Linked DNA regions of Lepisosteus oculatus. The protein of the gene in region 1 purifies or fractionates together with the protein of each later gene. This does not show direct contact. Links are inferred from orthologs where the notes say so. Each region holds a gene or a part of one and is shown in the gene's direction. Other genes may lie near its edges.

Region 1 (7,058 bases):
GTCATGTGACCGCGCCGGCCTCAGCGGTTGCCGCGACAATGGAACTGATGAGCAGAACGCCTCCACTACCTGTGTCACAGGAAGTCAGCCAGCCTCTTCCTGTATCAGTGCGCGAGATGCACAGCCCCAGGCAGAGGAAGAGAAAGTGGGGGTGGGGAGCAGAGAATGGTGGAAAACCGTGAAAGGGAGTAAGAGAGGGAGGCATTTCACTTCTTCCAAGCTTTATTAACAAAAAGTGACAAATCTGACATTCCTACCACACTCTTAACAGCACTTAACGTATCGCAGAAGCTTCAGAGCTTTAAAACTACTGTTGAGTGATAAAAAAAGTTCAGATATAATACAAAAAAACACTGTACCAATAGATATTTAAATGAAGTCTGTTAAATGCTAAAAAATCTAATATTAAGCAAAATCTATAAATTCTCTGATAATAGAACCAGAGAGATAAAAACAGTTTTGTGCTCTGAAAGTCCCACACTGCTTGATCGAAAGCCCAGATCAGGCTAAAGGTATTCAAGTTCTGCAAGGCAGTTAAAGTTGAAGTCCAGGCAGCTCTGTGGACAGAAAGAGACCAGATTCCTTGGCCAGACTTTCCCAGTCCTAATGATCATCAACAGGAGAGCAGCCAGCAGACAGGTGTCTCATAGCTCTCTCAAAGTGCATTGATATCCTGTCTCAAGCAATTTGGAATCGCCGCTATAAATCCCAAGACCGTACACGGGGAAAATGAGGAAGTGTAAACCGACTCTTCCCACGTGCCCACCTTTCAGCCAATCATCTTTTAACGCGTCACAGGAAGCACAGCCCCATACAGGAGGATCAAAGCTGATTGGTGGAAAGGTGGGTTCCTCGCTGATAACACTGAGAGCCCTAATGCATGACTTGGAGAACCTGGGTCACGATCAGCTAGTTACAGGACCCAGGTTCGAACCTGCTTTACTGGTTGAGTAACTCAGGAGGCCCCATTCTGCCCTGGTTGAGGCTGGGGGAGAGGAGGGAGATGAGGAAGCTATCATATCGTGAGTGAGAAAGCCGGAGTGAGTTCATACTGGATTCTGAATGAGATTAAGAAAAGGCCAGAAGAAAGGAGGGAGGCAGTGGATTGAGAGGAAGAGAGAGAAGGGCGAGACAGAGACGGAAAACTGTTCAGACCGGATGGACTGTTGAATTGTGTAATACCTTTGGCCGCAGTGATGTTATTAGCTAGGCTGATAAAATACCTTTGAATTGAAGTGAGATAGAGGGAACGAGAGAGAGAGGAAAGGGAGCACAAAGACACAGGGTTGAGAGAGCAGGGAGATGTGGGTGACAGAATGACGTCTGGCAATGGAGTACAAAATTGATCCCTATAAATATTTGTTTTGTGATAAATACCTTTTTTATATATTTCTGTTGATGAATGACTTTATTTTCCTTGCAACCACATATCAGATGCAGCTAAAACCTTTTTAATTCTCTCTTAGCTTTTCCTTTTAAGCTGCAAACACGAATTGCTTGGTTGCCACGATTAGAAATGATTGCTAACTGTGAACCCACAATGCTACAGTGATTGATCTGTCCTGCTCATAAAGGAGTGTTTGGGGGACCGAGCCAGGGAGGAGAAGAGAATGAGAGAGTGGGTGGAGGAAGAGTGTGAGTGAGAAAGCTGGAGGAGGGCAGAAAGCTCCCGTCTCACCCACGGGTGATCTCAGGCTGCAGAAAGGAGACAGCATGGTAGATACAAAGGGACACAGCTCTGGTTTTGAGTCAGCCCGAGCGCAAAACAGAGGTCTGAAGGTGAGTCACAGCACATTTCCGTTGTAAATTTGCTGTGGTACACGATTAATATGTCATAAATCACAGTACACTGTAGCAAAGTGCAGTGAAACTAAGTAAAGAGAAGCAATGTGCTGTAAAATCATGATTTAAACAAAGTAACGAATACCAATGTGTAGTAAAACCCATCGTTTTCAACAGTAAACTATAGCAATGTGCCGTAAAACTAGTGTTTTAAACCTATCCACAAAAAAGAGAAAACTATAGCGAAGCCTTTGGAAAAAAAATAATAAAACTAGATGTCAAGCAGACGTACTGTGCGCATTCTGCAATAAACCCCTACACAGCACCCCCTCTCTCTCCTGATTAGTCCAGACCTCTTTGTGTGCTCCCACACCACCCCCTAAATCCCCCCTTCTGATGTGTCCCAAAGTCACCCACACGTCTCCCACACATTGTAGTGTGCAACACCGCCGGACACACTCCACACACACAATCTACTGTCTCACACCGCCGGACACACTCCACACACACAATCTACTGTCTCACACTGCCAAACACACTCCACACACACAATCTACTGTCTCACACCGCCGGACACACTCCACACACACAATCTACTGTCTCACACTGCCAAACACACTCCACACACACAATCTACTGTCTCACACTGCCAAACACACACAATCTACTGTCTCACACCGCCGGACACACTCCACACACACAATCTACTGTCTCACACCGCCGGACACACTCCACACACACAATCTACTGTCTCACACCGCTGGACACACACAATCTACTGTCTCACACCGCCGGACACACTCCACACACACAATCTACTGTCTCACACTGCTGGACACACACAACCTACTGTCTCACACCGCCGGACACACTCCACGCACACAATCTACTGTCTCACACTGCTGGACACACTCCACACACACAATCTACTGTCTCACACCGCCGGACACACTCCACACACACAATCTACTGTCTCACACCGCCGGACACACTCCACACACACAATCTACTGTCTCACACCGCCGGACACACTCCACACACACAATCTACTGTCTCACACCGCTGGACACACTCCACACACACAATCTACTGTCTCACACTTCCGGACGCACTCCACACACACAATCTACTGTCTCACACTGCTGGACACACTCCACACACACAATCTACTGTCTCACACCGCCGGACAGACTTCACACACACAATCTACTGTCTCACACTGCTGGACACACACAATCTACTGTCTCACACCGCCGGACACACTTCACACACACAATCTACTGTCTCACACTGCTGGACACACACAATCTACTGTCTCACACCACCAGACACACTCCACACACACAATCTACTGTCTCACACTGCCGGACACACTCCACACACACAATCTACTGTCTCACACCGCCGGACACACTCCACACACACAATCTACTGTCTCACACTTCCGGACGCACTCCACACACACAATCTACTGTCTCACACTGCTGGACACACACAATCTACTGTCTCACACCGCCGGACACACTCCACACACACAATCTACTGTCTCACACCGCCGGACACACTCCACACACACAATCTACTGTCTCACACTGCTGGACACACACAATCTACTGTCTCACACCGCCGGACACACTCCACACACACAATCTACTGTCTCACACCGCCGGACACACTCCACACACACAATCTACTGTCTCACACCGCCGGACACACTCCACACACACAATCTACTGTCTCACACTTCCGGACGCACTCCACACACACAATCTACTGTCTCACACCGCTGGACACACTCCACACACACAATCTACTGTTTCACACTGCCGGACACACTCCACACACACAATCTACTGTCTCACACTGCCGGACACACTCCACACACACAATCTACTGTCTCACACTGCTGGACACACACAATCTACTGTCTCACACCGCCGGACACACTCCACACACACAATCTACTGTCTCAAACTGCTGGACACACACAATCTACTGTCTCACACCGCTGGACACACTCCACACACACAATCTACTGTCTCACACTGCTGGACACACACAATCTACTGTCTCACACCGCCGGACACACTCCACACACACAATCTACTGTCTCACACCGCCGGACACACAATCTACTCTCTCACACTGCTGGACACACACAATCTACTGTCTCACACCGCCGGACACACTCCACACACACAATCTACTGTCTCACACCGCCGGACACACTCCACACACACAATCTACTGTCTACACAATCTACTGTCTCAAAACACATGAATATATGCCAGGAATGTACAGATATAAAGGTACAAGGGATACGGGAATACATACTGGATTACGCAGGATCAAGAGCACTTGTAATGGGCAGATCTTACCAGCGTCTTACTGGTTTCCCACCTTTGTTAGCTCCTAAGTGCTTTACACAACCTGTTCATCACTGTTTCCTGGAACTAAAGCCTGCAGCTATTTATAGACACCTGTAGGACAGACTCACATGAACAGGATATCCCACAGGTGGTGGGCAAACATGTACACACACAGACGCGGGCACATCGAGTCTCTTTACACACACAACGACATCCTCCCACTGACATCGCCCCTGCACACTTGCGTCTGAGCGCAGGCAACGGAACATGTCTGCGTCACCCTCTGTTTTTATTCTTCTTTTCGGTGTGCCTGTGACTTCCTGGATATCTGCTTTAACCTCTCCACCCCCACTCCCCGCACACACAGACACGCACTCCAACAGCACTGGCTGCTGCTGTTAATGAACCCGGCACACTGTCTGCAAGTCCCCCGGTCCACAGGCCAGCCTGCTTCCTATACTCTAAAATGGGCCGAAAATATGCGTTTGATACGTATTCATGTAATATACTCGTGTATTTAAAAAGCTTTAATGGCATTTGTGATGGATTTCAATGCTGCCTAAACAGTAACAATCGGTAAACATTTACATTGAGGACAATGTCTTTATTATTATTGAGAGGCTCCCTCTCTGTTCCTCAGGCTGCACCAGGAGATCACACACAGTACCAGGCTGCAGCTCTGTTTATGTATAACATATATATCTATATTTATCTGTTTTCATCGCTGTGATGATCACGTGACTCACGGAGGAGCATCGTGTTTAAATGAGCTCCCCTGGGAAGGACAAGCCTCTAGACACAGTATAGTTGCACAACACTTCATATGCAACCTGTCCGCACAATCTACTGCTCAACACTTGTGGGCACATTCTGCATACACTGACACAGACACATACTGTACATCTACACACACATTACCCTGCCGAACACCTGTGGACATGTTCTGCACACACAAATACACACATTCTACTGCTGATCACATTCTACACACGCATTACACTGCTCAACACTGCTTAGCTCATCCTGCACAATACACAAGCACACAACATCTGCTGAACACGGCTAAGCAGTGCTTGCCCATGTGACTGGCCAGGCTGAGCCCAGATTAACAGACTGAAAGATGGGGTAACTGGCCCTTTCCTCTGGGTCTGAGTTTAGATTACTGCCTGGAGATTTTTCTGCTCTAATCTGGAGGGTTTGCTGCTTCCGAAGAGGGGGGTGTTAAAATCCGTGGTCACTAGCCAACTGGCAGAGTGCGTGCCGAGAGGAGAAAGGGAGAGGGCGATGGAGTGCGAGAAGGGCAGAGGGAAGGATCTGGAGAGGGCAGCAGGAAGAAGGGGGAGGGAGGGAGGAGGAGAGAGTTCTGGTAGGATGTGCGGGTGATCCAATGACTGACACACCCTCCCACCAGGGAGTTCCCCTGCACACAGACCCACAGGGACGTATCCACAGACTCCAGGCAGGTAAGCAAGAGAGGAGGCTGCTCAACGCCTCCCACTCGTTTAGATTGCTAGTAGCTAATGCCTCTCATCGGCTTGTGTGGGAACAGGTACAAACGAGAGGCCATTCGGCCCATGTGGTCATTAGTAGCTAATTGATCTGAGGATCTCATCCACCCTTTTTGTGAAAGTAGCCAGCGTACCGGTTTTAACAACACGGCCGGGTGACTTGTTCCATACTCCCACCACCCTTTGTGTAAAGATGCAAAGATGTGCCACCCGATCCAATCAGAGGGTCTCATCCTTCCCGAAATAAGCCGGGCTAATGGCTTCAATAACATGGCTGGGTAGCTTTCTCCATACTCCCACCACCCTTTGCGTAAAGAAGTGCCTCCTGTTCCCAATGCACTTCTCTGTACTTTCCAGTTGTGGTTCATGTTTTACAGTCCCTCCTTGTCTAACAGTGGTCAAGGTGAAGGGGGATTTCAAAAAGGACCTAGCCAGAATCATGCCCCTTCATACACACATACCTGGGTCGGGGAAACATTAACAAGACCCCCCACTTTAAACAAATGGGGAACAAGGGTCAGTGGATGGAATATGGGTTATTGAAGGTTTGTGGAGGAGGTGGATTCAGTTTTCTAACGGACATGAGTTAGTGGGTTAGGCACTTGGTCAAAGAAAACAGAGAAAGAATTTAGGAAAAACTCACCACCACCCCCTTATTCTACAGAACATCTACCCTGACACTGGGAAACCTGGACCTGAACCATGTTCCTCTATCGCACTACCTCCAAAAAAATAAAGGAAGAAAAAGGCATTGGGGTGAATCAGCCGTGATTCAGTGGAAGTCGTTTTATGAGAAATCGGGCTCGTTTTTAAGAAGCCCACAGTTTAATTACCGGGGATTTTATTACGAAAATCTGCTGCTGCCGCTTGTCCGCCGACTGCTGATGTCATCAAATCACACACACGCGTACACGGGGCGGGGGGGGTATCCCCAGAGCTCCACGTGCTGGCAGGCCTGGCAAGAGCGATGACGCCACTAACCATATATGGCTCGCCGACAAAGAGCGCCCGCCGCCATATATGGAAGTTCCGTCCGTGACGTTTTTTCCTTTTGTCAGGGGAAAAGAGGCGGGGCCCAGTGGGCAGGCTGCGCTTATAAAACTAAGGGCCCGCCCCACCCTCGCCTGTCTTTCACAGCTGTTACACTAAGGAGACAAAGGTCGAGAAGGGAAGACAGCCAGCCTCATCTGCGTGACATCAAGTATACTGTCCTGTACGCTGGCGTAGCTCTTAAACGGAGGCATAAACTTAAATACCGAATTCATGAACAGTCCGTAGCAAAACAACCAACGTGAAAAAAATCACCTCTGCCATCAGTGGTCCACCACGTCTACATTAGTGAAGTAAATAAAAATAAACTGAAGTATATTGAAGGGGAAGGAGGTATCTTTTCCCCCCA
Region 2 (7,058 bases), on another chromosome or scaffold:
GTGTAAGTTATATATATCGTATGTAGCTTTTTTCTGGACACTCCACTCAAAGCGCATTACAGGTAATGGGGATCCCCTCAACCACCACCAGTGTGCAGCCCCACCTGGATGATGCGCCAGTCTGCCCCCCACACACCAGCTCTCAGTGGGAAGGAGAGCAGAGAGATGAACCAGTTCAGAGATGGGGATTATTAGGAGGCCACGATTGGTAAAGGCCAGGGGGTAATTTGGCCAGGACGCCAGGGTTACACCCCTACTCTTTTCAAGAAACGCCCTGAGATGTTTAATGACCACAGAGAGTCAGGACCTCGGTTTTACATCTCGTCTGAAAGACGGTGCCTTTTTATAGTATAGTGTCCCTGTCACTACACTGGGGCATTAGGACCCACACAGACCGCAGGATGAGCACTAACACCTCTTCCAGTAGAAACCTTAGCTTGAAAAGGAGTCTCCCTTCCAGGTACTGGCCAGGCTCACACCTGCTGAGCTCCAGTGGGCTGCCAGCTGTGAGCTGCAGGATGATATTACAACGCCAGGCAGCTGTAGATCATGTGTTGCTCTCCATCCATCTTCGAACCACTTGATCCAGTCCAGGGTCACAGGGGAGCTGGGGTTTATCCCGATAAGCAACAGGTGCAAGGCAGGATACACCCGAGATGAGATGCCGGTCCATCGCGGGGCAGACAGACGCAAATGGACATGCACACACACCAGGGCCACGTTTCCCAAAACCCAATTTACTTTTCAGGTTAATTTGGACTGTGAGAGAAAAAAAAGTGTGTGCACATGGAGAGAACATACAAACTCCCAGCTGATGGTATCCCAGCCTGGAATGACAGAAGGAGGAACTGAACCCAGGGTCCACCATAGCCAGGCAGCAGTGCTGACCACTGTACCTATGGTTAAACAATTCAATGTGCTTTCACCATGCTGTACCTCACTCATTCACTAAGCATCACCACAAACCAACAGACACAAGTGGAAACTAACAGGGAGTACATTTACAATTAAGAACTGGAGGCACTGTACACCAAGGATGGTGGGGGTCTGGAACAAACTACCCACACGTTGTGCTGAAGCCAATGCCCTGGCTTCATAGATAAGAAATGGATGAGTTCATCAGCGCAATTAGCTTTGTCAAATCAAACTAGATGGGTCAAATTGTGCCCCCTTCTTTCTGTCCTTACAGTTTAAGGGATACCACCATTTACGATTTGTAAGAGTCAGTAACCTTCACCAGCAGTTCTCTAGTTCTGTCCCCAGCAGCAGCTTTCTAGTGGTTAATTAGGTCTCTTTCAAATGTCCAAGTCAGAGAAGTTGCTTTTGGTATAAAATAATGAAATTTTGTGAATCACCTCAGGAAACTAAAAAAAAAGTGGTGCACAGTGGAGTAATAAGACACAAATCATGACAAATTCACCCAGTGACTCAGAGAGTACAACCACATTCCACAACACAAGCTTTAACAGCGGGATAGGTCTTTAAATAAGTTCTGAAATGGGCAGTCTCTGATGGATTTGGGCAGTGCCTTTTACTGATGCAGAGCATCATGTACTGTGGGGAGCCTGGATTTGAGCAGAGTAAGAATCTCAAATTAAGATGAAGGATTGTGGCAAATGTTTCAGATAACCTGGAGTCATCTGTCTAAGATTTGAGTGGGAGAATAAGATAACATAAGATCATTTTTTTTTAGCCATCTACAATTTCTTGCATTAGGAATTTGTCTTTTCAGAAACCCCAGCTTGCTCTCCATGAGACACACAGACAGGGAGAGAAGCTTGGGGTCAGAGCGCAGGGTCAGCCATTTATACGCCACCCCAGGAGCAGTTGGGGTTAAGGGCCTTGCTCGGGCACCCAACACAGTGGGATTTCTCTGCCAGCCATAGGATTTGAGCCAGCAAGCACAGCTACAAGCACAGATCCTTCACCACAAAGCCACCACTCCACGCCTAAAGAAATCTCAGTTTGACAGCTGGGTTCGAACCCCCAACCTGAGGCATAAAAGGCACATGCTTAAGCCAGATTTCTGAGAATACTGTAGCCTATTCAATACTTTCAAAGATATTTCATTTGGTGAGGCACGACATTAGTCACTGATCGTGACTAAAAGGTAAGAATATTTCAGCTTCAGACAGTGTCTTAAATAACGTTACACGAGTGGAAGAAAGTTACGGTAATAATTATCCATAATTGGTCATCTTGATTGTTTAGCTCAGGTCTTCTGGTGAAACGACTTCGGTTCAAGAGGTCGTTTTGCGTCTTTCACACACGTAACCTTTTGACGGGGTCATTGAGATGTTATTACGAAGTTAAACCACAAGGTGGCAGTAAATGAGACAGCAGTAATCGCCTACTCCGAATATCCGTGAGTATCCGCGCATCCTCATCAGTTTTAAGAAACTCCACTTAAAGCACTTTACAGGTAACTCCACCACCAGTGTGCAGCCCCACCCGGATGATGCGACAGCAGCCAGAGTGCACCAGTACACTCCCCACACACAGGAGCTAAATTGGGAGGAGAGCAGAGTGATGGAGCCAGTTCAGAGATGGGGATTATTAAGAGGCCATGATGGGTAAAGGCCAGGGGGAAATTTGGCCAGGACACAAGGGTAACACCCCTACTCTTTTCGAGAAACACCCTGGGATATTTAATGACCACAGAGAGTTGGGACCTGGGTTTTATGTCTCATCTTAAGGACGGTGGCTTTTTTCAGTAGATTGTCCCCGTCACTGTACTGGGGCATTAGGACACACACAGACCGCAGGGTGAGCGCCCCCTACTGCTCCCACTAACACCTCTTCCAGCCTCAGCTTTCCCAGGAGTCTCCCCTCTATAAGAAAAGACAAATCAAACGGCTTCAAGGAGCCACTTTTCAAAGTGAACTTCTTTGGCACAAATGCGCTTATAGTTTCACTGCCACGGCGCAAGTAATAGTTAAATTATATACTTTAGTAACGCTTTTCATTTTAAATAACGAGGTAAATCCCAGGCATGATAAAACACGAAACATACTAAATTCTCTACTGGTTTCCTTCTCTAAGTTAGATTCTTACTAGCAACCAACTGCTACAGGGCTGAACTGGCCATTCCAGACAAAACCGAGAACGACAGAGGAAACGCTCCCCGATTTTTTTTATGCCTTCTGATGTCTTTTTTGCAGATCTCTCCGTCCGACAGGCGGGTGGCGGCGGTGTGTAGGAACCAGCTCGTGTTTACAGGCTCCGAAAGGGCCGTGTAATCATTTTCTCTGAGTCACGTTTCCTGCGACTTCGGGCAAAGCAGATCCTCTTGTGTCACTCTGGGGGGATGACGAACTGGGGGAAATCTCTGCAGTGGGCTCTGTTGCATTTCCATCGGTGCCAAACGACAGGATTTTCTTGGCCTTTTTTTTTAGATATCATTGACCGCTCCCGCAGGTCTTGCGGTTGATCTCACTGTGTATCATCGGCGGCTTGACTCCGCCCTGCCCAGATCTGACAGATTAAAAAGTGGCGTTATCAGATTGAATCACATCTTCTTTTTTTTTTACGCTGTATTATCGTTTCTCACTGGCGAAAACCATCACCCGCTGTACGCGTAAAGATAACTACAAAATGCAGTGTTCGTGCAGTCCATCTCCAAATGAAAACAATTCTAACAGAAATCATTAATTCGGATATACGAACGGAATTCTCATATGCAATATGATTTCAGGGAAACAGAAAATAAAAGCGATACAAAAACATAGTTGTCAAAGAGACTCCGGGACAGTTTAAATGCACTTTTGTACAGCAACTCTGCTCTTCCATGAATTAAATCTTGAACTCTGGATTGGGCCATCAATTAGAATCGGCTCCTGTCCAGTTGCAAAAAAAAAACAATAATTGATTCAGCTCCTGGTTGCTCCAGAGCCGAGCAGTCCCTTGCTGTCTGTCCGAGAAGACCAGAGACCCCCAGCCGGCGTGACAGGCTCCCCCGTCCCCGCGGCGCAAGCGCACCCCCCTCACGTGACCGAGTCCTCGCTCTCGCCCCTGCGCTCCCCGGTCACATGACCAGCCCGTTATTTCCTGCAGTGGAGCTGCCTGCCTGCCGCAGTCTGCGGGCGAGTCTACAAGGTTGCTAGACTGTAGCAAAGTAATCCACGGCTCGTCTCCCCCTCCCTCTCACCATCCTGACAGGCGATCAACAGGCCGTACGGTTTCTTCGGCTCCTGGGACTGAAAGCTCGTTTGTTCAGGTTTTTTTTTTCCGGCCCCTTCCCCTTCCTCGTAGCTAGGACTTTTTCTTCCCAGATTTTCTGTTTTTTTTCCTCTTCTCCCACCCATCCTTCTGCGTGTGTGTGTGGGCAGCTAGTTAACAATGGCGACAGCCGCGGTATCTGGTGCTGCAGGCGGCGCCCCCAACACCGGATCGGGAGCCGAGCTGGTCCGTGGACAGGCCTTCGATGTGGGTCCCCGCTACAGCAACCTGTCCTATATCGGCGAGGGGGCCTACGGCATGGTGTGGTAAGTTGTGTTCGGGGGCCGGGGGGGCTGGACGCCACGGCCGCGGTGTCTTGAGTCTCTCGGCGCTGGGTGCTGTGTGCACGGCCGGGCGAGAGAGGCTCCAGACCTGCCGGCGGAGGAGAGGGGGGAAACTCAGTTCGTGCTACACATGCATGCAAAGTTTTTTTTTTTACGGTTTTTCTCCGTCCGCGCTGTCGGGGAAGCTCGCTCGGTGTCGGGACTCGCCGCCGTCGTACTTGTTGATGGAGCCGTGAGGCTGACGGACCCCGAGAGTGAGAGAGAGAGAGGTCTGCGAGAGCCGGATTGGGAATGTTGGGTTTTTTTTTGTTCCGATGTGTCATTGATTTTCACTTTTCAATGCAGAGAAGGGCAACACCCTTTGCCGTAAGGGGTGTAGCTAGCGGATTACAACTCGGAGCCGCCTGTGCTTGGAGCCGGCTCGAACTCTCGGGTGCTATATCATTGCTGCTTGTGTCCGCCGTGTTGTTTATTAAACAACAACATCTTTATTAAACAACAAATGCTGAAATGTTACTTGACGACGTCGCGTTTCCCGGTAAACGCGCATTATTGATATCCGTTAGCGGCTTGAAGCCCAATACCTATGGAAAGCACACCCCAAGTTTTGACAGCCGGGCAGTGGGCGATCCAGTCGGGGGGGGGGGGGGGGGGGTAGTTTTATCCAGATGTGCGCCGTTTCTGGGAACGAGCATCTCCCCGTGTCCCGCCTTATCAATCAGTGTGTTCAGTTGATAGCGCATAAATCGCTGCCTCTTTCCCCCTTGGAGGAGGGCGAGGCTCGTCGTTTGCTGCGTCGCTGTGGGGTATAGGGTGTCACACTTGGCGGCATCCCCTCGTTGGGGCATCTAAGAGTTGAATCCCACCCCCCCTCGGAGAGATCGCTTGTTGCATTTTCCGAGTTGCAGGTAAGGCGATCTCCAGCGCGAGCGGCAATTCATGGGAATGGGAAGGTGCTGATTGGCGGCCCGGCGTCACGAGCTGCGGGGAGCTCTCGCGCGGAGCGCGGCGGAATGTCCGCCCGTGTCCGCGGGGCGTGTGCGTGTGCGCGCCGGTGCCCCCGGCTGCCCACCCGAACCCAGAGGGGTCTCGGCGCAGCTCGGCTTCCTGTGCCGGAGTCGAGACGGCCGCCGGGGTCACAGCGATGCCGGTTCCGGGCGAATTTTGTTTTTGTTTTTATTTTTTACAAAAACTGTTCACCCTAGTGATTTGGAAGAAGGGGCTGGGTTTATCGAGAACGCCTTTGAAACAAGTCCCTTTTCCCGGAGTGAGTGCAGATCGCCACAAGCGATATCACTCTGTACCACGCAGTTAAGCCACGCCTAGCGATATTTATAGGAAGAGGGACGGGCCTACCTAGTTCAGCAGACAGGAGCGCGATTTATACCCCCACAAACTGAATGAATCAAAGCAGACCCGTCAGGTAATAATGTTTTGGTCCTTCGCAGCTGTGTTGCAATCGGTTCCTAGTGAATAGAAGGGTAGGAGAATGTGTCAGCGGTTTTGCTTTGTGAAAGGGGAAGGGTGCGGTTTGTGGAGTTCGTGCATCGTGCCACAGGTGTGGCGTTGTGTGAGAATGCTCTGGCCTCTTCATTAGTCCGGCCGTCACAGGTGTTCCCGAAGTTCAGATTCCTTTTCCTGATGCAGTGCGTATGCATATTCTGTGCAGCACAGTAGAGTCCCCAATAAGATGCAAGAGCCTCAAAATTTTAAAATTAAAAAAAATTCGGGACTTAGATGACCAGTTCTGCCTTGAAATGAGATTTTCACTTTTTGTCCTTTCAGGTGCGTAATATCAATTTTATCTTCGCTCCTTAACTCTTCTGAGTGATGCGTTAGAAACCGCTGGTGTGCAGGGTGCTGCTCAGTGGTTAAAGAAACCAGGATTTATCAGATGTAGAGACAGGAAATTAAGCAATGATCCTATTATACACAGCCTTGTTTGAACCTTTCTGTCGTCCAGTGGGTTTTATTTACCAGCTGCCTGCTGTACATCTAAGTTGCTGAGAGCGTCCATCTTTGGTGGCATTTATGAGGAGGCTCAGCGTTAAAAGCAAATGAGATATCGACTGCCTGAACTGATACCTCCCTCCTTTTGATGAAGATAATTGCATCTTAGGACGTAAAGAGACTCCAGAGGTTTTGTCTGCCTTCTGTGTGCAAATGCCCATGACCTGTGCGGTCTCGCAGCCTGCTTTGCCAGATCTCTTTTCGTTAGACCTTACTTTGCATCCAAGCGGAAGAAAATGAGAGATCCAACTAGCTAAGAGAGCACTGGCAGGCGCAGTGCATGTGTTATCTGAGCAGGAAGCTGAGGGTGTTGATAGAATGCATGCTTCACTGCAACAAAAACAAAGGGATATACAGTGTGGGGGGTTGTCAAATGAGTAATCTTGAAGTGATGGAGGTTCTGTGAAATGTGCTCGCAGGAAGTACGCAGGTCCTTCATTGCTGTGGATGCTGGGGAACGTTTCTCGTTGATGCTCTGCAGAGATGCAATCTGGGAGCATCTTGGATAGGAGTATGAAAATCGCGAAATGATTGATCTGAAGCGTG

Evidence for each region. Proteins that work in one complex are often made in the same cells at the same time.
Region 2: the proteins of dusp2 (region 1) and mapk1 purify together in Homo sapiens (affinity purification with mass spectrometry; 4 studies listed by BioGRID and IntAct, with this or other methods). This does not show direct contact. The link is inferred for Lepisosteus oculatus from reciprocal best matches to the Homo sapiens genes DUSP2 and MAPK1.

What each region holds. Positions count from the first base shown.
Region 1 is NC_090697.1:65,321,972-65,329,029, forward strand, and holds the start of dusp2 (dual specificity protein phosphatase 2), read left to right. Parts: upstream 1-4,052; 5' UTR 4,053-7,058. UniProt on the Homo sapiens protein: Dephosphorylates both phosphorylated Thr and Tyr residues in MAPK1, and dephosphorylation of phosphotyrosine is slightly faster than that of phosphothreonine. Can dephosphorylate MAPK1.
Region 2 is NC_090717.1:1,962,748-1,969,805, reverse strand, and holds the start of mapk1 (mitogen-activated protein kinase 1), read left to right. Parts: upstream 1-4,035; 5' UTR 4,036-4,338; coding exon 4,339-4,484; intron 4,485-5,615; exon of another isoform or gene 5,616-5,902; coding exon of another isoform or gene 5,903-5,925; intron 5,926-7,058. UniProt on the Homo sapiens protein: Serine/threonine kinase which acts as an essential component of the MAP kinase signal transduction pathway. MAPK1/ERK2 and MAPK3/ERK1 are the 2 MAPKs which play an important role in the MAPK/ERK cascade.